4 linked regions of the Caenorhabditis elegans genome follow. The protein of the gene in region 2 purifies or fractionates together with the protein of the main gene of each other region. This does not show direct contact. Each region holds a gene or a part of one and is shown on either strand. Other genes may lie near its edges. The genes, in order: hsr-9, rfp-1, B0395.3 and usp-3.

What was found.
Region 1: the proteins of rfp-1 (region 2) and hsr-9 fractionate together in Caenorhabditis elegans (co-fractionation; one large-scale study listed by BioGRID). This does not show direct contact.
Region 3: the proteins of rfp-1 (region 2) and B0395.3 fractionate together in Caenorhabditis elegans (co-fractionation; one large-scale study listed by BioGRID). This does not show direct contact.
Region 4: the proteins of rfp-1 (region 2) and usp-3 fractionate together in Caenorhabditis elegans (co-fractionation; one large-scale study listed by BioGRID). This does not show direct contact.

Annotation. Positions count from the first base shown.
Region 1 is NC_003279.8:9,624,278-9,631,376, reverse strand, and holds hsr-9 (Protein hsr-9), read right to left. Parts: upstream 5,137-7,099; 5' UTR 5,103-5,136; coding exon 5,078-5,102; intron 4,911-5,077; coding exon 4,874-4,910; intron 4,827-4,873; coding exon 4,760-4,826; intron 4,716-4,759; coding exon 4,287-4,715; intron 4,239-4,286; coding exon 3,033-4,238; intron 2,986-3,032; coding exon 2,877-2,985; intron 2,829-2,876; coding exon 1,789-2,828; intron 1,743-1,788; coding exon 1,528-1,742; intron 1,435-1,527; coding exon 1,149-1,434; intron 1,103-1,148; coding exon 1,019-1,102; 3' UTR 529-1,018; downstream 1-528. Other genes in the region: rps-19 (Small ribosomal subunit protein eS19), read left to right, coding at 5,586-5,796, 5,840-6,009, 6,211-6,270; T05F1.2 (F-box associated domain-containing protein), read right to left, coding at 6,771-6,967, 7,013-7,099. UniProt on the Caenorhabditis elegans protein: May have a role in DNA double-strand break repair following gamma-irradiation.
Region 2 is NC_003281.10:8,357,044-8,363,047, reverse strand, and holds rfp-1 (E3 ubiquitin-protein ligase bre-1), read right to left. Parts: upstream 4,427-6,004; 5' UTR 4,422-4,426; coding exon 4,296-4,421; intron 4,242-4,295; coding exon 4,074-4,241; intron 4,025-4,073; coding exon 3,885-4,024; intron 3,836-3,884; coding exon 3,352-3,835; intron 3,290-3,351; coding exon 3,164-3,289; intron 3,073-3,163; coding exon 2,452-3,072; intron 2,324-2,451; coding exon 1,935-2,323; intron 1,886-1,934; coding exon 1,505-1,885; intron 1,039-1,504; coding exon 960-1,038; 3' UTR 565-959; downstream 1-564. Other genes in the region: R05D3.9 (uncharacterized protein), read left to right, coding at 1-196, 289-410, 460-564; Putative RNA-binding protein R05D3.8, read left to right, coding at 4,784-4,906, 4,957-5,104, 5,154-5,449, 5,503-5,592, 5,714-5,812, 5,882-6,004. UniProt on the Caenorhabditis elegans protein: E3 ubiquitin-protein ligase that mediates monoubiquitination of 'Lys-117' of histone H2B. H2B 'Lys-117' ubiquitination gives a specific tag for epigenetic transcriptional activation and is also prerequisite for histone H3 'Lys-4' and 'Lys-79' methylation.
Region 3 is NC_003284.9:16,034,536-16,041,072, forward strand, and holds B0395.3 (Choline/carnitine acyltransferase domain-containing protein), read right to left. Parts: upstream 4,697-6,537; 5' UTR 4,691-4,696; coding exon 4,630-4,690; intron 4,581-4,629; coding exon 4,477-4,580; intron 4,430-4,476; coding exon 4,349-4,429; intron 3,819-4,348; coding exon 3,646-3,818; intron 3,592-3,645; coding exon 3,426-3,591; intron 3,123-3,425; coding exon 2,951-3,122; intron 2,843-2,950; coding exon 2,661-2,842; intron 2,368-2,660; coding exon 2,267-2,367; intron 1,602-2,266; coding exon 1,345-1,601; intron 1,294-1,344; coding exon 1,193-1,293; intron 1,136-1,192; coding exon 689-1,135; 3' UTR 501-688; downstream 1-500. Other genes in the region: mboa-1 (O-acyltransferase), read left to right, coding at 12-142.
Region 4 is NC_003279.8:13,948,612-13,953,484, forward strand, and holds the start of usp-3 (Ubiquitin carboxyl-terminal hydrolase), read right to left. Parts: upstream 3,020-4,873; 5' UTR 3,018-3,019; coding exon 2,887-3,017; intron 2,808-2,886; coding exon 2,493-2,807; intron 1,179-2,492; coding exon 882-1,178; intron 1-881. Other genes in the region: rps-6 (Small ribosomal subunit protein eS6), read left to right, coding at 3,567-3,704, 3,877-4,237, 4,293-4,534.

The sequences.
Region 1 (7,099 bases), on a different chromosome or scaffold from region 2:
TTTAGAATTTTTAAAAGCATGTTATTTAAACAAGAGGAAAAATAGTTGTTTTATACAAAGAATCGAATAAAACTGTTTATTTTATATTTTTTCGCTCAGAAAGCGGAATTTGTGGCTGTCGTTATTTCCGAACAATGTATTAAATGTTTTTTTTTTAAATTTTATTGATGGGCCTTTATTGATGGGAAGTAGAAATCAAAAGTTCGAATATTTCAAGCGATATTTTTTTTTATAATTCATGATGTTGAGTACACTCAAAATAAGAAAACTGCGTGGCGTGTACTGCAGAAAACCTCATATTTAGGCCCCGCCTTTTCTCCGTGAGTGGACAAGAAAAAGGCGGGGCCTAAATATGAGGTTTTCTGCAGTACACGCCACGCAGTTTTATTATTTTGAGTGTAGTTTTCCCGTTTCTCAATTATTAATTTAAAGAGCTCAATTGGGAATGCATTAAATTTCAGAGAAAACGAACTGTTTGAAATATTGTTAATTGTTTGAAACTAATGCTGCCAAATCAAGAAAATTGACAACGTTATTGGTACAGTTCATTTTTTCATTTCAGAATAAGCAACAAAAGGTGTTCATATGAATGTACTGTAGGTTAGTAAAACACTATGTTAGGTTACTCTTTGATGCAAAAAGGAATAGTTAAAAAGTTCTCAGAAGCTTTCGAATAAATTATAATAAATACGTTGCAGAAGTAACTGGGAAAGGAATGATGATCGTGATTTAAAAAAGATGGAAGAGCTTCAAAACAGGGGCTTAGAAAATGCAGTTCTATAATAATAAATTGGGAAGAGCTCAAAAATTCACAAAAAATGGTTAATGAATACGCATACAATGTCACCGCTTGTTGACCAGCACACTGAGCGGGTAAATTTTCGAGTAAGAGATCGACGATATTTCAGCGGATGGAGCACGGTAGGGAAAGTAGAATAGTTATTTAAAAAGTTGATATAAAAACGTAGTGTACAAAATGAGAAGGGAAATGGGGAAAGGGGGTGAGATGAGATGATATTCAATGACGCGTGCGGTGATGCAGACGGTATGGATCGAATTTTGGATGAGCATTTGGCTCAGGAGCTTTGCCAAGAATTATTGTCTGAAAAATGTATAACAATTAAACGACGAGGAAAACGGAATCTCACTTGGATAACCCATTCGGAAGTGACTCTACTTGCTCCAATAGTATCTGCATACTCCATGACTTCGTCACGGAAAGTTCCATCAACTAAAACAACGTCAAATTTGAGACCTGTTTCGTCAAGAGTTTCCCAGTCTCCGTCGACTACATCAGCACCGAGAAGCTCAAGAATAGGTTTCCAAATCTCGATGAAAGTTCCTCCGGGTCCAGTTTGTGTTACTTCACGAGCTGAGTGAGTTGAGTGTACATAAATTGTTGTTCCTTTCAAAAGCTCTGATGGATTTTTGGGCCTTAAATGTTTTCGATGATCAGAATTTTCAGAATCGTTATAAAAATCAAAAATCTAACGGAATTGAAATCATTCATCATGAAAGTTCACTTACGCTGGCATATCCTGAGACTCGTCAAAAATTGAAGCACCTGCAGGAAGAACATAGTCCGTATAGTCGACACATTTCCCCTGTTCACCACATGCTTGTAACCATGTATTGTTAACACAAGGAACACCACGAGCTAAAGCTGCCAAGTACTTGTGAGTACGATAGTACGTATCAGAAATCAGCAATGGTTCGTAGTTGGAGTAACGCTCTTGGAAGCTCTTAAAATAAAATGATTAGAATGTTATTTGTAAGACGTTATCTTACATTAAGCTGCTCCGTGACGATCCCACCATTCTGAGTAATGAAGTTCATCAGATTCTTCTTTTTGAACATTGAAGGAACACTCGCAGAATTTGAACGATTGGCCGAAGTTAGCATGAAGACCTTTCCGGTGAAAATGTTCTTTCCAATAGCTTCCTCGTTCATTGGCAAAAGCTTTTCTTCTTCTTCAGCCGGACTTGCTGATCCTCCTCTAGAGGAAACTAGATCAACTCCCTTCTTCTTACGACCTTTTGGTTTTGCTTGATTAGAAACTGTAGTTGGCTTACGAGCACGAGTAGCCTCCGATATTGTAGTAATATTAGACGTAACAATAGCCGTAGCACTTTGATCTTTGCTTTTAACATAGTCTCGCCATTCTGAATGATCGAAAGAAACATCATACCAATCAACAACCTTCACTTCGTCAGTTGGTTCCCCATCTTCATCCATGATCGATATGGTTAATTTTCCTTTTTTCCATTCCGCAGCACTAATATCGTTAGGACCAGAATCCAATCGAACATCGGATTCGTTGTAGACTGCAGTTTTGCCAGGGGATAAAGCGCGAAGTGGAATGATTCCAGAATTTGGAACATCTTTAATGACGTTATCAACCGTGAATTGTACCTTGTATCTTCCGAGACCATCACGCTCCGAAAGAACGACAGCGGGATAAAACATCTTCTGAAACACAGCGTAGACTCGAGCTCCAGGAGCATGAGGTTCATTATCGTCTTGTGGATGATCAACTAGTAGTTGATCCTCATCAGATAGATTTTTAAGAGGAATAACTGGTTCTTTTTTCGCCGGAGGTGTTTTGATGTCAGAAGCTTCACTTTTTCTCTTTCTTCCACGATTTGACGAAGCTGGGGTAGCAGTTGCAGGCGCATCTTCCATTTCAATATCATTTTCGTGATGTTCTTCCTCCTTTTTAGCTCTTGATCTTCTTCCCGAAGTTCCTACAGACGATACTCTATGCTTCATCTTATCTTTACCAGGAGTCATATCAGCAAGAGAACGCCGATTCTTAGCAGCAGGAGAAGCTGAAAGCATAGATATTCTTAATTTCAAGAAACTACAAAACAACTTACATTGTAACTCAGCAATTCTAGACTCTGCCGCCTTCTCTGTCATAGAATACTTTGACTCTGAATTACCCAATTTGGCATACTTGACAGCACCAAAATTGTGCACTTCCATCTGAAAACAAGCAAAATTACAGATAAACATTAATTTTTAATTCTCACGTGAATATTCTTCAAAGGTTCTGGATGATGCTCCATTTCAGTATCAAGATCATATGGATCATATTCTGCACTTTTCTTGCTCGATGAAGGCGCACTTTTAGCTGCTCCACGACCTTTCTTTTGTGGTAGAGTTTCTTCAATAGTCTCATCAGCTTCTTCGATAGGGTCTTCTGTGATAGAACCTTGCTTCTTTCTTCCACGAACTGTCGTTCGTTTATTTGTCACAGCCGGCGTCACCGGAGCAGATTTTGCAGGAGGCTTAGCCCTTGTAGATCTACGAGATGATGTTGGAGTTTCGACTTTCTCAGCTTCTACACTTTCCATAGTTTCAGCATCAGCATTAGAACGCCTTCCTCGCGGAGTTCGGGTGGACTTCGCTTGGTTTGTATCGTGAGTTTTTGTAGGGTCTTCGGTTTCTTTTTCTTGCAAGTTTTCCTCATTTGCTTGCGACTTTCTTCCTCTTCCTCTTGTGGACCGCGGTGTTGGCACTGCAGACGAAGTTGCTGAAGAAGATGCAGCTGAACGTCTTCCACGCCCCTGTTTCGGAGTTTCTTCTTCAGTTGGATGTTCCGTGTTTTCAACTTCCTCGGTGACAGATGTGTCTTCTGTTGCAACAGAGCGTCTTGATCTTCCCTTGCGCGGTGATGTTTCTTCAACGCCAGAGTCGCCAACAACATTCTCCGTAGGATCAATTACTTCATCTCTGTCTCCACCCCTGGAAGATCGACCACGCCTGGGGGTGCTGTTACTAACAATGGGCGTTTTCGTTTCATCTGCATTCACTTCCGATTTTTGCCCACGACCACCACGGCGTGGAGTGTTTGACGAAGGAGTAGACGAAACAGTTGCTGAAACTCTTTTAGCGCGACGAGTGCTGCGGCTAGAAGATTGAGATTCTTGGTTCTCTTCATTTGCTTCTGATTCTCCATCTGGCGATTTTGAATCGAGACCAATTTTTTGAGAATCATCAACACTGTCTTGTGAAATCTCACCAACGCCTGGTTCAGACGCCTTGTCATCATTAACATTCTCAATAGGTTCACCACTATCTGCTTGCTCTTTCACTGGACTTTCTACTTCAACCTCATTTTCGGGTTCCTCTGTATCGTCCTCATTCTCTGGTTCTTCTTTCTCGTCGCTCACACTACCTCCTTTTGGAGAATCATCTTCATGCAGATCGTCGTCATCTGACGTTGACACTGCCTTCTTCAATATTAATTGATTAAAATTAGGTTTTTCGAATTATCAACAAACCTTAGTTTTCTTTTTTGGAGCTTCGTCTTCGTCGTCTTCTTGCACATCATCAATATCTTCTTCATCTTCATCTCCAACCACCTTTTCTTCATTTTCTTCAGGTTTCTCGGTATCATTTGAAACAGAAATCGATTCAGCAATGTCTAATTTATCGTCACTAGTATCCATCGAGATAATTTTTTTCTCGAAAGTTTCTCCCTCTCCTTCTTCAATTGGTGATTCAGACTTTTCCGAGTCGTTCATGCTTTCTCCAGATTTAGCATCCTTACCGGCTGAACATTGTGGCTCATCTTCTGCCTTTTCTTTATCAAGTGCAGTAACATCGGCAGCTACATCTGGCTCGTCTTCCGCTTCTATGATAACTGATGACTTGGTAATGACACTCGAATCGACTATGTGCCCATCAGGAGTTGAATCTCTAGCTGGGGTCTAAGTAAGCAAATTTTAGATTAATACAAACACACTGGACTTACAGAAATCACAGCAGAGTTCCCAAAAAGACTCCTACTTTTATCCAGAACTGAAGTTGTTGTGGGGAGGCTGAAATAGTGGGATAAATATGTATGGATACTCGAAAAGCAGGTAACCTTGTCTGTGTGACGGTGGAGTCGTCTTCTTCGAATTCTGAAAACAGAAAATAAAAGGAAAACTTCACGTAAGTTAAGTTTAATTTTTAGAGTCGATATTCACTTCGAGTGACCACCTTAATTTCAATAAGGTTGAATTTTATATGCTTGACCCGCAAAAATATTAATTAACCTTTCACATTCTTATTATATCGAAAAAATTACCCATAGTGTTCGAAGACGATGCCATTTTCCTCCAAGCAGTTCAGTTCTTCAAGTCTATGCTGTAACATATGTGTTTAATTTTGCCATTTTAAGCGTAAAAGTGTCTGCGAAACAAAAAGTTACGACGTCAAAAAAAATCGTTTGAAAATTCAATTCAAACGCCCGCCCCCGCTGTTCAAAAAATGTACTGAGTGTCGCCCGGTGCGTTGCGGTCGCGTGCCGAGTCGCTACGCAGCCAATTGGTATGCAGGTTATGTCTTACGATCAGCGGTGAAGAATTTTTTCGTTTCTTTTCCTACAGGTTTTTTCAATTTTTTGACGCGATTTTCACGGTTTTTCGAGTTTCTATGTATTGATTGGGAGGAAATATGTTACGTTTACAGTTTTCTTAAATAATATCCACTTTCTGAAGCGCTTGTTGTTAAGAATAGTTTTTTTGGCAGTGGGTTTTCTTTCCGTCTTCTAATATACGATTTTTTCAAAGCTATACTTTTCCTTTTCAGGTAAAATGACGAGAGCGACCTCCATCAAGGACGTCGACCAGCACGAGGCTACCAAGTCCATCGCTCACTTCTTGAAGAAGAGTGGAAAGGTTAAGGTTCCAGAGTGGTCCGATCTTGTTAAGCTCGGAGTCAACAAGGAGCTTGCCCCAGTCGATCCAGATTGGTTCTACACCCGTGCTGCCAGTCTTGCTCGTCACTTGTATTTCCGCCCCGCCGGTAACTTTTTATTGACAAAATCATTACTTATTTTTCTATTTAGGAATCGGAGCCTTCAAGAAGGTCTACGGAGGAAACAAGAGACGTGGTGTTGCACCAAACCATTTCCAAACCTCAGCTGGAAACTGCCTCAGAAAGGCTGTTCAGCAACTCGAGAAGATCAAGTGGGTTGAGAAGCACCCAGACGGCAAAGGAAGAATTCTCTCCAAGCAGGTGAGTATTCTATTTTATTATCTAAAAATATAAAATTCGAACTTTTTTGTAAAAATAAATTATTAAAAATTATTCATAAATATATGCGCTGAAAATTAAACATGCAAAATTAGATGTTTATATTAAAATTAAATTTCTGCATGTTTTCTTTTTTGAATTTTCTCGAAATTTTCAACATCGTACTAAAACTAAATTTTGCAGGGACGCAAGGATCTTGACAGAATCGCCACCAGCCTCAGATCCTCTGGACAACAAGCCTAAACACTCGTTGTTTGTGTTATAAATGTTGTTGTTATAAAAAACTTCATGATACATCTCCATTAACAAGAAAGTAAGATGATGGCGCAAATTATGAATCAGAAAAAAAAGTTATTAAAGAAAAACTTCGCCCGAAACGTTTGAATATATACACCTGTATAGTTCTCACTTTTTTGAATAGTGAAATAATCAGTCTACAAAATATTATACGTCTTTAGTGGACCTTAGAACAAAGCTACAGAACTTGAATACAATCATTAATATATCTACTTGCTCTTCCGAAATCAAATTTGAAACATTATTAGCAGAAACTAACTTCCTATTCTGATACCCAAATTATTTCGCTAAACATCGCGAAAGGCATTTCTGATAAAGAAAATAAAATACAGGGTTAAGCTATTTATGGTTTCACAAACTTGCGATCAATTGGAAGTCGGAAAAATTTTAAAGATTAGTTATCATACAACGATAGATACAATTTTTAAATGAATGTTGGTGGACATTTATTTAGATGTAGAAAAGCGGAATCTAGCAAGTTCGCATGCGAACTTCTCGTTGTGAATTGCCGTGAACAAAATGTTCTTCTTATCTTGGGAAATCTGGAGCAATGCACACGCACCTCCGTGCCAAACAGTCCTACCCGGAGTAGATGATACCTCGCCATTCGATGAAGTTCCTGATACACCCGAACCAGATCGGTCTAAAAATTCAACTTTTAACTAGAAATAATTATCTAGAAATAAACCTCGAGATTGAGTCTCATCACTTGAGTTTTGTTTACTGTGCTGCCCTGAGGACATGTTTTTGGATTCGGCGTTCGTCGGAGTAACTC
Region 2 (6,004 bases):
ACCTATATTTTCACAAAAATTGATGGGGAAAGTGAGATGATTAAGAAAACCAAAAAAGCATTGGGAGTTGGGGAGAACGAATCAATAATTGTGTTTTTGAACAAGGATCGAGTGCATCGAATTCCAATTTCAAAGCCTAAATGCCCTGATCATCTTCAGAAAATTCTCCAGATGATTATTACATCTGAAGCGGATCGTGAGTTTTTCCAGATACTTAGCCATACGCGAAGTTTCGTGATTTTTGTTGAATTTAACAAAGAATTCATCGTGCCGAGACCGAAATTACAGAAGTTCTCTCAACAAAAGAGCCACATCCATTAAGATATCTTCAAGTTGAAAAAGTGAACGAAGTATTCGGATTCGAGGAGACTCTTGTTCTTCCAGATCACACACTTTTCCTGGATTCCGATGTAAGTAAAAGTTTTGTTTCCAGTCAAATAAAATCTCTTGAATTTTCAGCCATTCTCTCGTCATCCACCAATTACAGAGGGTGGTGGTGGTGGTTGCCCATTTATGCAAGGAGGTGGAGCACCAACAGAATCTAGTCAACATTCAGAACTTTGATATATTATCATCATGCATAATTTTTGAAACAAGAATAACTATTACTATACATTTTTAATAAAATGAGAAAAAACATAAGAATTTACAACTTCAAAATTATATCAATATCAACTTCAACAAAGTTCATAAACTTGTGGATGTGTGCGTGCCGTGGCATCATCACGGAGATTCAGAGTATCAGAACAGAATTCAAATAATATAAGCCGACTAACTATAGAGATAGTGATTCAATAACTTGATAGGATGAGACAGTTTAAGATAGAAGCTTAGAAATTGCGCTGTGAGAGGTGGGGGGAGGGGAAGGGACCAAAACAGAGAAAACGGAGGACAGAAACCCATGTTGAACTGAGAGATTGAGAAAATGAGGAAATTTACTAAATAATTTAATGGCGGTTCTAGATGAAAATACGATGGAAGTCATTGGCTCCGAAGTTGCTGTTGCATTTCGGGCATTTCCGTTGACGAGTGTCGTACCTGGAATTTTTTGAATCATAAGCTAGAAATGCGAGATATCGCTTGAATATGTATTTTTCGTTTTACTCCGACGCGAAATTTCAAGCTGAAAATACACGACAAAATGTTTTGTTAAATGGGAAAAGGTGTGCGTCTTCAAAGAGTACTGTAGTCTCAGACTTTTGTTTTAGCGGAATTTTCATAACTAGTTGCACTTTTTTATTAGTTAAAAGATTGTGAGAAATAGGTATTGTAATACCAAATTCTCACAATTTGTTAAAATTCGGGTTTTTTTTAAATTTCATATTCAGTTGACATTTTTTATCGAGAAACTATGAAAAATTGATGAAAATTTCGTAGCATCAAGAGTTTGAAATTACAGTACTCTCTAAAGACGCGTGTCGATACATTTTTTTTAATTAAAAATTGAAAATTTTTGCGTCTAGGTCAAACCAACCAATTTTAGTGTTTGAAAAATGAAACTAACATAGTCTTAATGCAAGTTTCACAGAATAAATGATAGCATTTGAGCATAATACAATCCTTTGGCCTCGTTTTACATGATGGACAAGTCAGTGTTTCTTTCATTTGTCGATTCGCTTCCTCGAGGACTTGATCACCACTTTGAGCCGGTACAGACTCATTTCGTTTTACTCGTTCATATTTAATTCGAAGCGTCTCAAGTTCCTCTTCAGCACGTTGTCTCTTGAATTTAAAATCTTCGATTTCACGTGCCTTGGCAGCGTATAATTCTTGAATTTGCTTCATTTGACCTTCACATCGATCCGCTTTAATTTGGTTTTCGTCTCGTGACATTCCAACTTCTTGAATGTTCTTTCTATGTTGTTCCATCAAGTTTGTGAGACGTCTAAAAAATGATATTTTAATTTATGGATTTCTTAACATTCAAAACTAACGTTAATTCGGCAGATTTGAACTGAACTGATTCCGACAGTTTAGTTACCAACTCTTCATTTGCTTTCTTCTCAAATTCGTGCATTTTTGCTATTTGAGCATCTGTTTGTGCTTTACTTTCCAAACAAGACAATTTTTCACGCAATCGATTAAATGTCTGATTCTGAATCATTCGATCATTCATCATTTTCAGATTTCGATCCTCCTGTTCCCGCTTCTCAATGTACAGTTGAGCATTCCGTTCTTGTTCTTCTTCTACAGCTGTTCCAATGGCTTCTAACTCATCAGATATGCATTCTTCGTCATTAGTCAGCATTTCATTGGTCTTACGAAGAGTCTCCAATTCGGACAATTTATCAGCAATTTGACGATTGACTTCTTTCTGTAAATTCTCACACGGGATTGTAGAGATATGAACAGACGCAGAAATAATGTTTTAGAGTTTACTGAAAGTACCAAATAACGAAAGGACGTGTACTTTGAAAACACATTTTTGTCAAATAAGGTACAATGACTTACTTCGACTTGTTTCTGCTTCTCCTGTTTTTCCATTGCTCCCAGTCGTTTTACTTCTTTACACAAAGATTCGTATTCTTGACGAATTTTATTAACATCTTCCGGTGGAGCATTACTAACGTCTTCAAGAGGAACAAGTAGACATTTATCCTGGGCTTCTTTCAGTGAAGTTAACTCAGACTTGAGAGTGTTGATATCTTTTTGAGATTGCTTATCCTTTTCGCGCAAACGAATTTTCTCTGATTTTAACGATCTATTCATAGATCGTAGAGTATTCAAAGTTGCTTTCATTTCATCCCACTCGCTTTGCTTCACCGTCTTATTATATTCTTCCTTAACAGTTTCGAATTCGCAGCGTAGAACTTCACTGTCATGAGATACTTTGTAGAAAGAATTGTGAATATCCGATTGACATTGAATTTCCTTCAGCGTCTTCTGATGTTCTTCAGACATTAGCATTGCACGAGCTTCCTTTGCACTGCGGAAAGCATCACGTTCTGTTGTGATATCTTCAAGATCTTTGCTGACTCGCTCGTATTCTTTAATTGCTAATGAGTAGTACTTTTTAAGATTCTTGTATTCCTCCGAGTTGACAATTGAATCCACAGAGAAGAAAGTTTGTGTCTGCAACTATTTCAGAGGTAATAGAAGAAATTCGGGTAAAAATTTCATATTTTTGTAATGGATAAAAATTAATATATAGTCAAAACGGTACCTCTAGTCTTAGCTTGCTATTTTCCTGTGTTAATGTTTGAACTTTTTTATTCATCTCCTCGAGATCTTGAAGGCGTCGTGATGCAATGGATTCCTGTTCATCTCGTTCAAGACGCAGATTTTCGATCTGAAATTATTTTTTAAAAATGCGTTATTCATTTCGATTGATAAAAAATTTTTAAATCTCACTTCTTTTGCAGCTGTTTCACTTGGTGGAATATCTGGAGCTGATATCTTCTTCTCAGTAGCATTTGTTGTACCCGACGAAGACGGTGTCGCCCCTCCGTTCCCTCCAGACTGTCCCTCCGAGACGAGGGTGGCTAGTTTGTACTCAAATTTGTTAGCAAGACGCATATGTTTGTCAGTTTCAAATCGGGCATCTTCCAATTGATGTTCTAATTCTTGAACTCTGTTCTCTTGTACAGAAAGCTTATCCGTTAGAATACGCTTTTTCCGTTCCAAATTGTAACAATCGCTTTGAACTTTGGTAACTTCGGATTGAAGCTTTTCATTTTGTATAGCTAAACTTGCTGCTTTGGCTGTAAGCTCCTTATGGACACCATTTGGATTGAAGGTAGGAGAATCGATCAATGTTTTTAGTTTATCGATGAAAATGGTGGATTCGTGAGCCCGATCGTGGCGCGCTTTAGCATACGATACGAATGCATTCCGTCTATAGAAATATGTAAATTAAGAGTGAATTTTAATAATTTAAAACTCACAAATTCTGCTTTGCCTGATCAAAGAACTTGTTATATGTTTCATTAGTCATTCCAAGAACGTCTATACCAGTTGGTGCAGTGTCTCCTCCGATGTATTCTCCAAACTCATTCTTAGTTTGTGTACATATGTATTTCTCAATCTGAAAAAGAAAATAACTAATTGCAATCTGAAAATAAGTAAAAACGTACATCTGAGAACATATTATAAACCTTCAGAAAGTTGCTTTCGTCTGTCTGCTGCCGCCTCTTGGACCGTTCATTTTCTTTTTCCAATTCGGCTATTCGCTTATTTTTGTACAACAATTGCTGCTTTAATTTAGATGTCTGATAAACTACGGCACGAGCTCTTATATCGTTCTGAAATCGTTAGGGATTATTAATAGTATCCTCGATTTTAAATGAAAGACATACCACGTTGCTAACAGCGGGCATTCGGACCGGTTCGAATTGAATTTTGCGTCGTTTTTGTTGTCCATCGTCACTCGGGCTACTTGCATAATTTTCTCCTCCTATACCTTCATTACTTCTTTTCATCATACCTGAAATCAATACGTTTCTAATATTGTATACAAAATGTTAAAGAGATGGTAGAAAGCAGGGAAAACAAGGAAAAGATTTTAAACATATTAACGGATACTTAATCAATGTTTTTGAACAGATTTGATGACAATTTTATTGTTTTTGGAGTGCAAAAAAGGTGATTACAAAAAGATTTCCAAAGAGACATTTCAAATGGCACTCTTTTCGTTGCGAGACCTGAGTGAGAGAGTGTGTGACTACGGTCAAGAGACGGAAATGGGGTAGATTTACGACCGAACAGCATTTACGAGACTTGCGGGACTTTCGAATTCTTAATTCGTTTTTTTCTCCTCAAATTTCGGTCTTTCGTCCAAATAACAATGGTAAAAAGGATTTTTGTGCAAGGATTGGATAGCTATACAACGGAATCGACAGTTAAAAAATATTTTGAACAATTTGGAACTTTATACGAGTGCATTCTACCTCCTCCTCCTAGATATTCGGTACAGAAACTCTTGTTCTGATAGAAAATGTCATTATTTTCATTTTATAGGTATTCGACAATGGACCAGACGAGGAGAAAATTTCAACACGATCATCGATTCGATATGAGCCTGTGGAAAATGATGATGTATTAGATGACGAGCTCGATGTCGAACGATACGATGTTGAAAAACACGGCGATTTTGAGAGTTACATGAGTACGTAAGTTCGAAAGCTTTTGAAAAAAGTAAAAATGCCGAGTTCCAGAAAAAATTGGAGAAGGTGAAGCATTTATCAAAGAGCCGAGAAAGACTAGCGCAGGCTACGCCTACATCACTTTCGTTGATTCGAACGGATATTCAAATTGCATGAAATCAGATATTCATGAAATCGATCGAGCCAAATGCACTGTTGAGCCAGCAAAAGATGAAAATGATAAGAAGTTGAAAGTAGAATCAAAACGACTTTTTGTTTCTTATTTTCCACTAGACAGATTAACTTCAAAAGAACTGAAAATGAATTTTGGAGCCTACGGAAAAATCACAGATGTAGAATTTGTCAGTGTAAGTTTTTAATTATTTGTATGTTTATTTCATGTTAATTTTTATTGTTGCAGGATTCAGAAGGGCCGCTTCACTTCTGCATTATAACTTTCGCAGACTCCAGATCTGTTGATGTTCTTCTAACCAAGTCAATATACATCAGGGTGAGAATATAGAATGCTTTCAAAAAAAGATGCGACTAATTCTTCAACAAACAATATCAGGCGTAGTCATCAGGACTTGATTGCAACCTCGTATTATAACGCGTTATGAAACATTTTTCAGGATGTTCTGATGTTCACCCGACGTGCTGTATTGAAGGAGTCCGTTAAAATAGCGGAACATAAGATAAAAGAGCAGGAACAACAAAACCTCGTGCAACTAGTAAGTTTTATAAAGTTTAAATAAATTATCTTGTAAAACGTGTTTTAAAATATTGCATTACATTTTCAGCCTCCAAATCACACTGCTTATCTAACGCCGTCACGTCCCGTAACTTCTGTACATGCCTCATCATCTGCTTCATCAAATCACTATGATCCATCTGCAGCAGCAGGATATGCACCACTATATCAT
Region 3 (6,537 bases), on a different chromosome or scaffold from region 2:
CCATCTTTCAGGAACCGGAATGTTCATTGCTTTCTACGGCCAAGAATGGTACGCGAGACGTGGACACTGTGCCCCGTACTCCAATGCCGTTGTGGACCTTTTGTTCCCGAGACATTGGAATTGTCACCCACCAACTTCATGAAATCTCTAATTATTTGTCACACGGGGTATTCGTTTTTTTTTTTTGTATTTTGTTGATTTTATTTGAGAATTATTTTTTAAACTGTACAAAAGTTTTGTCACTAGTTTTTACAGAAAAAATAAATATTAGTTACTTGATAGAAGTTGGTTCATTGTAAAATATGCTTATTTGTACCAAAAATCTTTTGATCGGTCTGCTAGATAAATGCACACAATTTTTATGGCAGGAATAGCATATTTTAAACTATCGATTTTAGCAAAACAATTCTGAAATCAATCACATTTTTTCTCTATTTCTTGGCTATCACCCCAATATTAGATGTTTTGTAGATTTATCGTGGATATTTGTGATACACCTCTGACGGAAACGTATTTATTATACAAATTATTTATTCATATAAAATGTTTTCATAAAATATCTACAAGCATTTTCAATCAATTACAATAAAGCAGAAAAAAAAACATTGGGATCTGAACACGTAGGAGCACTAGTTATGGCGTGTGAAATGTTATTCTTTAAAAAAAAGTAGTATCAAAATATGATCTCCTACAACTTGGACATTTCTTTTGTAGCCTTATTAATAACCGATTTCATGTCAATTAGCGCCTTTTGAAGTTCCTTGGCAAACTTCTTGGAACTCGTCGAGCCGTAGCTCTTGAATGTTGAGATCATAAAGTGAAGTTCAGTTTCCTGTGGGTTGTAGCAAATTCCATAGCAATCAAGGGCAGATGGTCCGAAGCACATTTGGATGAAATGCCGTGTGGGAACTTGACTTGTGGAGACTTGGAAATGGTTGAGTTGTTGGTAGATGTTGGAACCGAAGATTTCTGGGGTTGGGAGATTATTTTCAGTAGCGATCAACTTCCATGCCAATAAATGTCTGTCCATTCCAGCTGCATCCATACAATCCATGGTGTACTTTTTATGCGAATTTGTTGCGTGAACAAGTGCATCGTAGATTTCACTAACCGGCGTAGGAGGCTTAGATACCATCTGAAAATTGAGTGAGTTAAATTGGGTGATCGATCTAGGTCACACACAAACACACACCTTCTTGACAAATGATGCTGCAGCTGTATTCGGAGATCGGATGTTCTCGGTTCGACCCTCGGTGAATTTACGCAAAGTGGCCGTCTCGTAGGTTGGTGGAACTGGAAATTTAATTCGTCATCAAATTGTAAGATGGGGGATAATTGACTTACGCGATGAGTGGATCCGGTAGAAAGCTAATTGGTAAGCCATTTGGATGAACGAGTCGGGCGAGATCTTTGAGGATTTCGGGAAATTCTTTCCGTAGGGCTTGAACGTGAACGCGACGATATCAAGGTCCTCGGCGATGCTGTCCATGTTCTTGGAGCTCTTGGCGATTCTTTTGTTGATTTCCTCGTCAGTGGAAATATCGAGACGTTGCACTGGGGAGTTGGAAGGTGTGCCTTCAGTAATGAATGTGTTAGCATCACTGAAAAATTGAAGGAAATATAATAGATATATTATCTTAAATGTTACTAACTGAAGATATCCAAGCTACCAGAATACTTTTTGCAACATTTTAAATAAACTTGTTTGATGAAGCGTAGGATCAGAAATATTTATATTGCTATGGTTAAAGGTGGAGTAGCGCCAGTGGGAATTTGGTCTGAATACACTTATTATGATCCAACACGACAGAATATCATAATAAAACACTCCAAACATTTTTCGATTTTTCATAATTTCCGGCCGAAGTTTTGGCAAACTGCCAATATTTTGAAAAACGACACATGCAATGTTTTAAGACAAATTATTTAAACAGAACTACAGTATAAAAAAATGTAGGAAAAATTTTTTTTTTGGTCGACTTCCAAAATTATATGTGGAAAAACTGAGTAACTGTCACTGTTTGACAGTAAATAAAAAAATTTTAAAAAACTTTTGAAAGGATTTATTATGATATTCGGTCATTTTGGCACCATGTGTAGGAGTAGTTTTTCACAAGTTCCCCACTGGCGCTACTCCACCTAAAGTGCCACAGTTCCGGTTTTTGACCCAACGATAAAACGAAAAAGACAACATTTTAAATTTCTGTTCAAATTCAAGTTTTTCAACAAATTTTTTTGTAATCAGTTATAAATTTCAAAAACTCACAATTGATCACAAATAAAATCCATGAGTGCACCGACTGGTGGTCCTTCGGCTGGAGTGTGCTCATACGTCATTCCGGTGTAGCCATTTGTTCCGATGACAAACTGAAATTTCCAGGTATATTTTTTGCTATTGCAATGCAAATGTGCTCTACTGATCAAATGCAAAAAAATGAGTGCATGAACGATAAACACGTGGTGTAAGAGTGTCTCATGTCGGCTTGATCTACAAAGATCTACAAAAAATGCGGGAGAAGAGACGCAGAGTTCTCAACTGATTTCGTCTGGTTAAGAACGTGTTGACGTATAATTTTTATGGGCAAAAAATTCCCGCATTTTTTGTAGATCAAACCGTAATGGGACAGCCTGACACGCCGTGGATAAACTAAATAACACACCTGAATAGTCTTGTCAAACCATCTGTTGCTCGAGTTCACTTTGGAGCCGCCACCATGCAGTGCCTGCCTACTTTGCTCATCTTTCTCCGTGTAGCCAACTGGTGGTTCACTAGCTTTGTCAAGACAGACTACGAACAACGATTTTTCGACGGCTTCCAGGGATTTCGCGTTGTTGTTATCCTCTGAAAATAGTATTATTATCAGCATAGCTAGCTTCAAAGAAAATCTTCACAATGGAGCTAAGCAAAACTTCTACATTTGGCTTGAAACTTTTTTTCTCGAAAGCTCACTTTTCAGCGATGAGTATACATTTGCCCATTTGTCGCGACTATCGGAGGAGACAATTCCCACTGGATGTGGGTTTGGAGTTTGACTCTCTGAAACGACTTTTGCCAGTTGCTGAGTAATAGCAAAAATTGAGAGTGGCTGCTCGTTGGAGTCTAGGACTTGGACGCGGAAGAGCTGAAAATGTAGGGAGATTTTAACGGTTTTGTTGAAATCTGTTTGCAATATTTTTTTCAACTTCAATTAGATGGAACAACTGAAGTCTTATGGGGTTATTCAAGAAGTGTCGAAAAATTAAAAAGTGTAGAAAAATTAGGTGCAAACTATATTAAAATACATTTTTTGAAAACTTGTATTTTAATACAGTTGTGACGTAATAAATGTATTTAAATACATTTTGCAACATTAATTGAATAACCTCATTAGTCTTTATAAAGAATCAGTGATACAATTTTTAAATAACATTTTTTAAAAACTCACATGTCCATTTCTAATCACTAAAATGTGTTGCAATTTCTCCTTATAGTCACATCCATATCTAATCTCATCTACGCCAACCTTAGGTACCCTAGTTGTTCCAAACAAGAACTGGTACTGGCTCATATCAAGCGGCGACTTTCCTGCCATATCAGGCTTCAACTGATTACTGAAAAAATGTTTTTTGAAAACTAAAAAACATCGAATTGAACCAGAAGCCTACTTTTTTGCTCGAAGGTAAAAGTGGACAGCGGCTTGGCTGATTTTTGCTGCATATTCCAGTTGTCCCTCCTCGGTGTTATAGTCAAATTTAGGGAACATGACTCCTGGAGATGTGACGACTGGAAGTGGGGTACGAGCAGCTAGGTAGGCGATGTTGAGCCACCATGGTGTGAGCTGAAAATCTTTTGTTTGAATCGGTAAAAAAACGCCAACTTGCTCAATTTTAAGATAGTTAGTTTTTAGATATATTATAAAACCATGTGTTAAATTTGGAAATCTATTTTTATGGCGCTGGCCCTGTCACTTTTTCAGCAACATTTTGATTTCATTTTGATGTTTTCAATTTATAGGCTGGCGGATTATTTTGTGGACCAATTTCCAAGAAATTGTTTGTTTTGCAAAGAAAAAATTATTTAATATAAACGCCCAACATTATGCCTAATACCTGATAGGTATTACTTATGCCGTTAAATATTTTCAAAATATTGTAAAGTTTTCTAGTATCAAACTTTTTAAAATTAGGTTTAGGGTACACTTAAAGGTGTCATTGGTTTGCAGTAAAGCTAAACCTATAAAGTTAATTGATACATTTCTATTTTTTTGGTCCAAACTGAAAATTAACTACTCCTAATCATAAATGGGGAAGTTGTTTTGAATTTATTTTTCTAATTATTTTTTTTAGAAAAAAGTGTTAAAAATCTTACCCAATTCGGAAGTGCGTCGGCTCGTTTCTGCAGCAGTTCTTGCAATTTCGGCAAATCCTTAACCACAAAATCATTTACAATCTGAAATTGACATTTGTTTTGCTCCAAATGTTTTTTTTTATTTTTACCTGTTTTGTCTCTTGAAATTCCTTTTTTGACTGCAACGCTTGTGCAAAGTCCAGGAAGTGTTTCAGCGTTTTAATTGGTTGTGGAGCCGGGAGTTTTGGTAGGTCTGAAACGTCATCAATGTATTTACAATCGAAAAAAAGGTTTAGTCTCACCTGTTGAATTATAACGGGCTGCACCGTGACCTCCGGCCATTGCGTTGACACTGTGCTTCATTAGTTGCTGCAAAATGAATTTTGAATGCTCAAAATTTTGAGGGAACAGGTAATCCCTCACAAAACGCTGCGAAAAGTTACTATAGTGATAAGTGAAAGACGTTTTGTGGGGGAAGACCCGGGTGGGGGAATGTTATCAATGATCATTCAGACTACACTACGCCGTAGTCCAAATTTTATATGGTCATTTTGGTCAGCATTTAATATTTTTGGGGAGAAACTCACGGAGATCTGTGGTCGAATCATTGTTTGACATTTCAGCATTTTTTCGACGGGTTTTGTTACTCAAATTGATGAATATAATGTAAGCTTGTATGAAAGAAAGAGAATGTAAAAGGGAATGCACCATGTTGGTTCAATGCAATTTTTTTTTAATTTAGCGTAAATAATAGAAGAGTGATCTGTTAACCAAAAAAATTTGTTGTATGTTAATTGAAAATTGTTTTGAAAAATTTTCAAAAAATAAATGAAGTCTCACAAAAAAATTCGTTTTTTTTTTGGCATCTGGCAATTTTATAACAACTTTTTGCATTTTCTCACATGTTTAAATTTAAATAATTTTTTTTTAATATTTTGGAACTAAATTTTAGTTAAAGAATAGCGCCTGTGGGGATTTGATCTACATACACTTGTCAAAAACAACCGAATATCATAATAGAACACTCAAAAAAATTTAAAAATTTAAAATTTTTCATAATTTCAAATTGCCAAAACTTTAAAAAATATGAGCAATGTCATATGTTCCAACCCTTACAATGTTTTAATACGATCAATTAAAACAAAATTAAAGTAAAAAAAATATAAGAAAACATTTTTTTTGGTCGACTTTTAAAATTATGAGTGGCAAAACTGAGTAATTGTCACTTTTTGACAGTAAATAAAAAAATTTCAAAATTTTTTTTGAAAAGTTTTATTTTTTTTATTCGGTCATTTTTAGCACTATGTGAGTAGTTTTCAAAAATATCTATACTATATCTTTATTTTTCTTTGGAAAATTTAAAACTTAAAAAACATTTTTAAAAAGTAACAAAACAAAAAAAATAATTTGTTGATTTTCAGAGTGTAAAAGTGTTCCAAATGTTTGGGGCGTAAGATCAAAGTGTTTAGAAAACGAGTGACGGCGGGTGAATGGCAGGGGTCATATGGGAAGAGAGGAGTGTGTGTGTGTGTGTGTGTGTGTGGTGATGTAGGGGGCACAAACAGAAAGACCAGGCGGAACGCAGAAAACACAGGCAGCGAAAACAGAAGAAACCGAGTAGTTGTGTTGTGTCCAAAGAGTGGGGGGGGGGGGGGGAGGAAATGGAGGCAAGTTAAGTTCTCTCCTACCACACAAAAACCCCGCGTGGTATCCACAAAGAGGCCGAGAAATGGAGGAAGAAAACAACGATGTGTAGCCAAATGGTGTGAGTTAATGAGAAGAGGTCATTGGATTTGGATGGCAGCCAGTAATTGGATTGTGTAGTGAAAGTGTTAATTTTTCTGTTTGACATTTTTTAAGACACAACTTATGGAAATTACAAGTTGAACCAAACGTTTTAATATTATTTCAGAAAACTAATGGAGTTTCATTATTAAAACTTTTTTTTTCAATTTCTGATGAAACAAATTTTAAAAAAATCGCCTAAGCATAAATATTTGCAATTTGCTTCTCAAATTCATAATTAGCGGAAATATAATGTTATTCGAATGTTTCCCCATCATTGTTTTTATTCCAAATAAAAAATTTTAGCAACATTTTGTCTTTGGAGTATTTTTTTTTTAAATTGAATACTTTTTGAAAGCAACTTGGATCCCCGAAAATTTGGAAATCTATCAATTGCAACTTTTTTTCTTTTTTTAAACACTTTT
Region 4 (4,873 bases), on a different chromosome or scaffold from region 2:
TTCAACAAAAATTGAAATTAAAATAGGATTTTTGTAACAAAACCTGCAGAAACGACATTTTTTAGGTGAAAAAGTTAAATTTTCCATGAAAATCGGTATTTGGATTAAAAATCGGCATTTTTCTGTGAAATCACACATTTTATATCATTTTTAGGGCAAAAATTCAAATTTTTAGTTGAAATTTACGCAATTTTCGCTATAAAAATACAATTTTCAGAAAAAATTGCCAAAAAAAAATGGATTTTTGAACCTCAAAAGGTGAATTTTACGCATTTTTAGCGTTAAAAACGTAAAATTTACGATTTTTATTGAAAAAATGAGGCATTTTCCATGAAAAATAGCCTTTCACTGCTAGAAAACTGCATTTTTCACGTGAAAATCACAATTTCGGCTAATTTTCGATGATTTTCCCGATTTTTTGGGTCAAAAATCGCGTTTTTCACCAATTTTTCACACTTTCCAGGTGAAAAACGTACGCTAATGCTTAAAAAAGAAAAATTTTTGACGTTAAAACAGGAAATTTTACGCATTTTTCGGGTTTTTTTTTTAAATTTTAAGACCGGAAAACGCACAATTCACGAGTTTTCCGTGGTTTTCTGCAGAATTTTGCAATTTTCAACTAAAAAACGCAAAATATAAACTAATTTTTGCGTTTTCCTAACAATTTTCACGGAAAAATCACAATTTCTGCTCATTTTCGATGAAATTCTCAATTTTTAGGGTCAAAAATCGCGTTTTTCACCAATTTTTCACTCTCAAGGGGCGGAAAACACCCGATTTTCGCGCATGAATTTCGCATTTTCAGGGTCAAAAATGGCCGATTTTCATGTATTTCGGCTCAAAAAAGCCAATTTTTCACACTTTCGAGGTGAAAAACGTACGCTAATGCTTGTAAAACGGCATTCATAAAGCACGTATTTCCAACATTTCGCATTCCACGTGGCCTATAGGCAATTTCAGATGATGACGTGGCACCGCCGGACCCCGATGACGTAGAATTTGTGGATGATAGTGTGACGTCATGAATTACGGCGGCTCCCTGCTGCTGCTGGAATGGTGGTGTATCGACGAACATTGGACTGACTTTTCCCTTTTTTCCACGTTTTTTCTTCGAATTTCGAGAAGCTGGAGCCACGTGGAGCTTTTGGGTGAATGTTGAGGCGACTGAGGTCACTGTTCTGAAAGAAAATTGAGGATTTTTGAGTGGAAAATCGGAATTTTTTGGCTTTTTAGGTGGAAAAATGGATATTTGATGTTTTTTGGGCTGAAAAATCGGAATTTTTGAATATTTTTAGGTGGAAAAGTGTGATTTTGCTCTAGAAAACGGAAGTTTTTATATGGAAAATTGGATTTTTTAATGTTTTTGTGCTGCTGAAAAATGGGAATTTTGGGGCTTTTTGGTTGAAAAACTGATTTTCTGAATTAAATTTGAAGATTTAACGCTGAAAAATCAACGTTTGGGAGCTTTTAAGTGGGAAATTGAGTTATTGTTACGTTTTTCTATTGAAAAACCGCGCATTTTTGAACATTTATAGTGGAAAAAATTGATTTTTCTACTGAAAATAGGAATTTTTGTGGATTTTTAGTGGGAAAAATGGATATTTGATGTTTTTTGGGCTGAAAAATCGGAATTTTTGAATATTTTTAGAAAAATGTGATTTTGCTCTAGAAAATGGAGGTTTTTCATTGAAAAATTAGTAAAAATATGAGGTTTTTGACGGAAAAATCGGATTTTTCGTGGGCTAAATGAATTTTTTGATGTTTTTTGTGCTGAAAAATCGGAAGTTTTGGGCTTTTTCATTGTGAAAACTGATTTTCTAAAATAAATTTAAAGTGTTAACGTTGAAAAATTCGGAATTTTTGGGCTGTTTAGGTGCAAAAACGGATTTTGAAGTTTTTTGTGCTGAAAGATCGGATTTTTTTGGCTTTTTAGGAGGAAAAATGGATTTTTGATGTTTTTTCCCCTGAAAAATCACAATTTAGGGGCTTTTTAGTGGGAAAAATGAATTTTATCGCAGAAATTGATGAGTTTCTGCCGAAAAATCGGAATTTTTCGGATTCTTAGGGCGAAATACGATTTTTTGATGTTTTTTCACCTGAAAATCGGAATTTTAGTGATTCTCGTGAGGAAAATAGGGTTCTGTTCAAGTTTTTGCGGAAAAAATGATTTCCCAATGGAAAATTAAAGTTTCTTCGATGAAAATTAGGATTTTCATTTTTTTTTTTAAGAAAAATAAATTTTTATGAGAAAACGAACGTTTTTGACTGAAAAATCAAAATTTTCAGAAATTCCAGAGAGAAAAATGGAATTTCTGAGGAAAATTGGCGTTTTTTTCACTGAAAATCGCAATTTATCGGACTTTTCATGGGAAATACGATTTTTACGAGAACTGTAACGTTTTTCAGTGGAAAATTCGATTTCTAGCAGGGTTTATCGATAAAATATCGGTTTTTAACCAATTTTTAGTCCATTTTCCTCGAAAAATACGCACTGAAAAGGCTGTGCCGGTATAGTCGGCCCGTCGCCTCCCTCCATAACGTCTTCCCGGTCGAAAAGGAGCTTCAGCGATTTTAGAACTCCATATAAAGATGGCTCAAAGTCCAGTGACACTTCATCATCACAGGAATAGCAGTAAAGCTCGAAAGAAATGCAATCAATGACGACTGGGTGGCTGGTTTCTTCAAAATGATGCAAAGCGTGGCCCGAGTCGTTTCTTCCGCACAGAATTCGTCCGCAAGTGAGGCACATCAGCGATTTATTGCAATTATCGCATTCGTCGCAGAAGGTTTTAATTATTTCCTGGTTTCTGGAAGAAAAACGAGTTTTTAAAGCTATTTTTAGCTTTTTTTAGCCATTTTCTAGCCAAATTTCTCAAAAAAACTCACTTCACCACCTTCCCACGATTCGAATTTCCCTCCAAGAACAAATTATTGTCCTCCATGTCCTGTTTCTTGCGGAACATCCCCTTGGGCACACGCTCCACACAATCTTCCGCCTTTATATGGGTGCAAAGCATCTGAAAAAATTCGAAAATCAGTCAATTTGAGTGTGAGAGCAAAGTTTTGGCACTTAAAACGCGGATAAAAAATCGATAATCAAGAAAAACAGCAAATTTTCGGCGGAAATCGAAGAAAAACCGAAAATCGAGTCGGAAAATCGGAAAAGTTTGGAAAAAAATAAAATCCATCGGACGAGATAGTGTGGGAAAGGTGGGGTGCAGCAGACGACGAGGCGGATGGGGGATGGGTCTCGCCACGAAGGGCGTGCGCCTTTAAACTGGAATTGTCGTTGGCCTAAAAAGTTTTCGCTCCTTTTTTCATTTTTCCCTCGAATTTTTGGGTGAATTTCTCATTTTTAGGCGAACTTTTCGGTTTTTTTTTCGAATTTTCAAAATTTTAAATGTTTTCCTGATAGTTTTCCTCCACATTTCGCAGGATATTTGCTTGGAAAATCAAATTTATTAGTTTTAGGCCCATGTTTTCGTTTTTCGCTTCAGTTTCTCCTTTTCTCACCCCGTTAACTCATTTCCAATGTTTTTCTTCTTGCAGGTAATAATATTTGAGCGATGAGACTTAACTTCGCCTACCCAGCCACCGGGCTCCAAAAGTCGTTCGAGGTCGATGAGGAGAAGAAGCTTCGCCTCTTCTTCGAGAAGCGCATGTCCCAGGAGGTCGCCATCGATGCTCTCGGTGACGAGTGGAAGGTTAGCGAGTCACCCAAAAACACAGAAACGAAGTGATGTTTCTGTGTCAAATCCTCATTGTTTCACGTGCTTTTTCTTCGCTGAAATGGCTGTGACTAGACATACATTGAGAGTCCCAGTTTTTGTTTTTGAACCGATTCTCGGCTCTTTCAAACGAGTTGCTTTTTTCCAGGGATATGTCGTCAGAATCGGAGGAGGAAACGACAAGCAGGGATTCCCAATGAAGCAAGGAATTCTCACCAACGGACGTGTTCGTCTTCTCTTGAAGAAGGGACAATCCTGCTACCGTGAGCGCAAGAACGGAGAGCGCAAGAGAAAGTCCGTCCGTGGATGCATCGTCGACGCCAACATGTCCGCTCTTTCCCTCGTCATCGTGAAGAAGGGAGATGGAGAGATCGAAGGACTCACCGACTCCGTTCTCCCACGCAAGCTCGGACCAAAGAGAGCCTCCAAGATCCGCAAGCTCTTCAACTTGACCAAGCACGACGATGTCACCAAATACGTCATCACCCACGACAAGACCTTCCCAGATGGTGAGTTTCTTCAATATTCTCTTTAAATTTAGTTTTTAACTGTCTAAATTTCCAGGAGTCACCAAGACCATCGCACCAAAGATCCAGCGTCTCATCACCCCAGCTCGTATCGCCAGAAAGAAGTACCTTCTCCGCCAGAAGCGCAACCAGAAGATCAAGATGCGCGATGACGCCGCTGCCTACCACAAGCTCCTCGCCAAGTACTCCAAGGAAGAGCACGACGCCAAGATCGCCCGCAGACGCTCTTCGGCTTCCCATCACTCCGAGTCCGAGGTCAAGAAGACCAGCAAGAAGTAAATACTGCTGCTCGTTATTGTTTCCTAATGAAATTGTTGTTAAACTTAAATCTTTTTTTTTTGTTGTTCACTCCATTCGTCTCACCAATTATATTTGCACCCATTTGTCGTTGTTAATTTTTTTGAATGCTTACTCCGAGTCCTGGCACGCCACTCAGGGTACTTGGTCGATCCGTTCTTCGCCTGCGGGGCGGATAGCAGGCTTCGCAGCTTTCAAAGCTTTTCGGTTCTTTGCTTGGCTGATAGTTGTATGACTCAACCGAAGGCGTCTCTCGTGTGACCTTTTTATAAAGAGTCGTTCCATCTAAACGGGAGTCGTCCATTTTTGTGTTAATTCTGC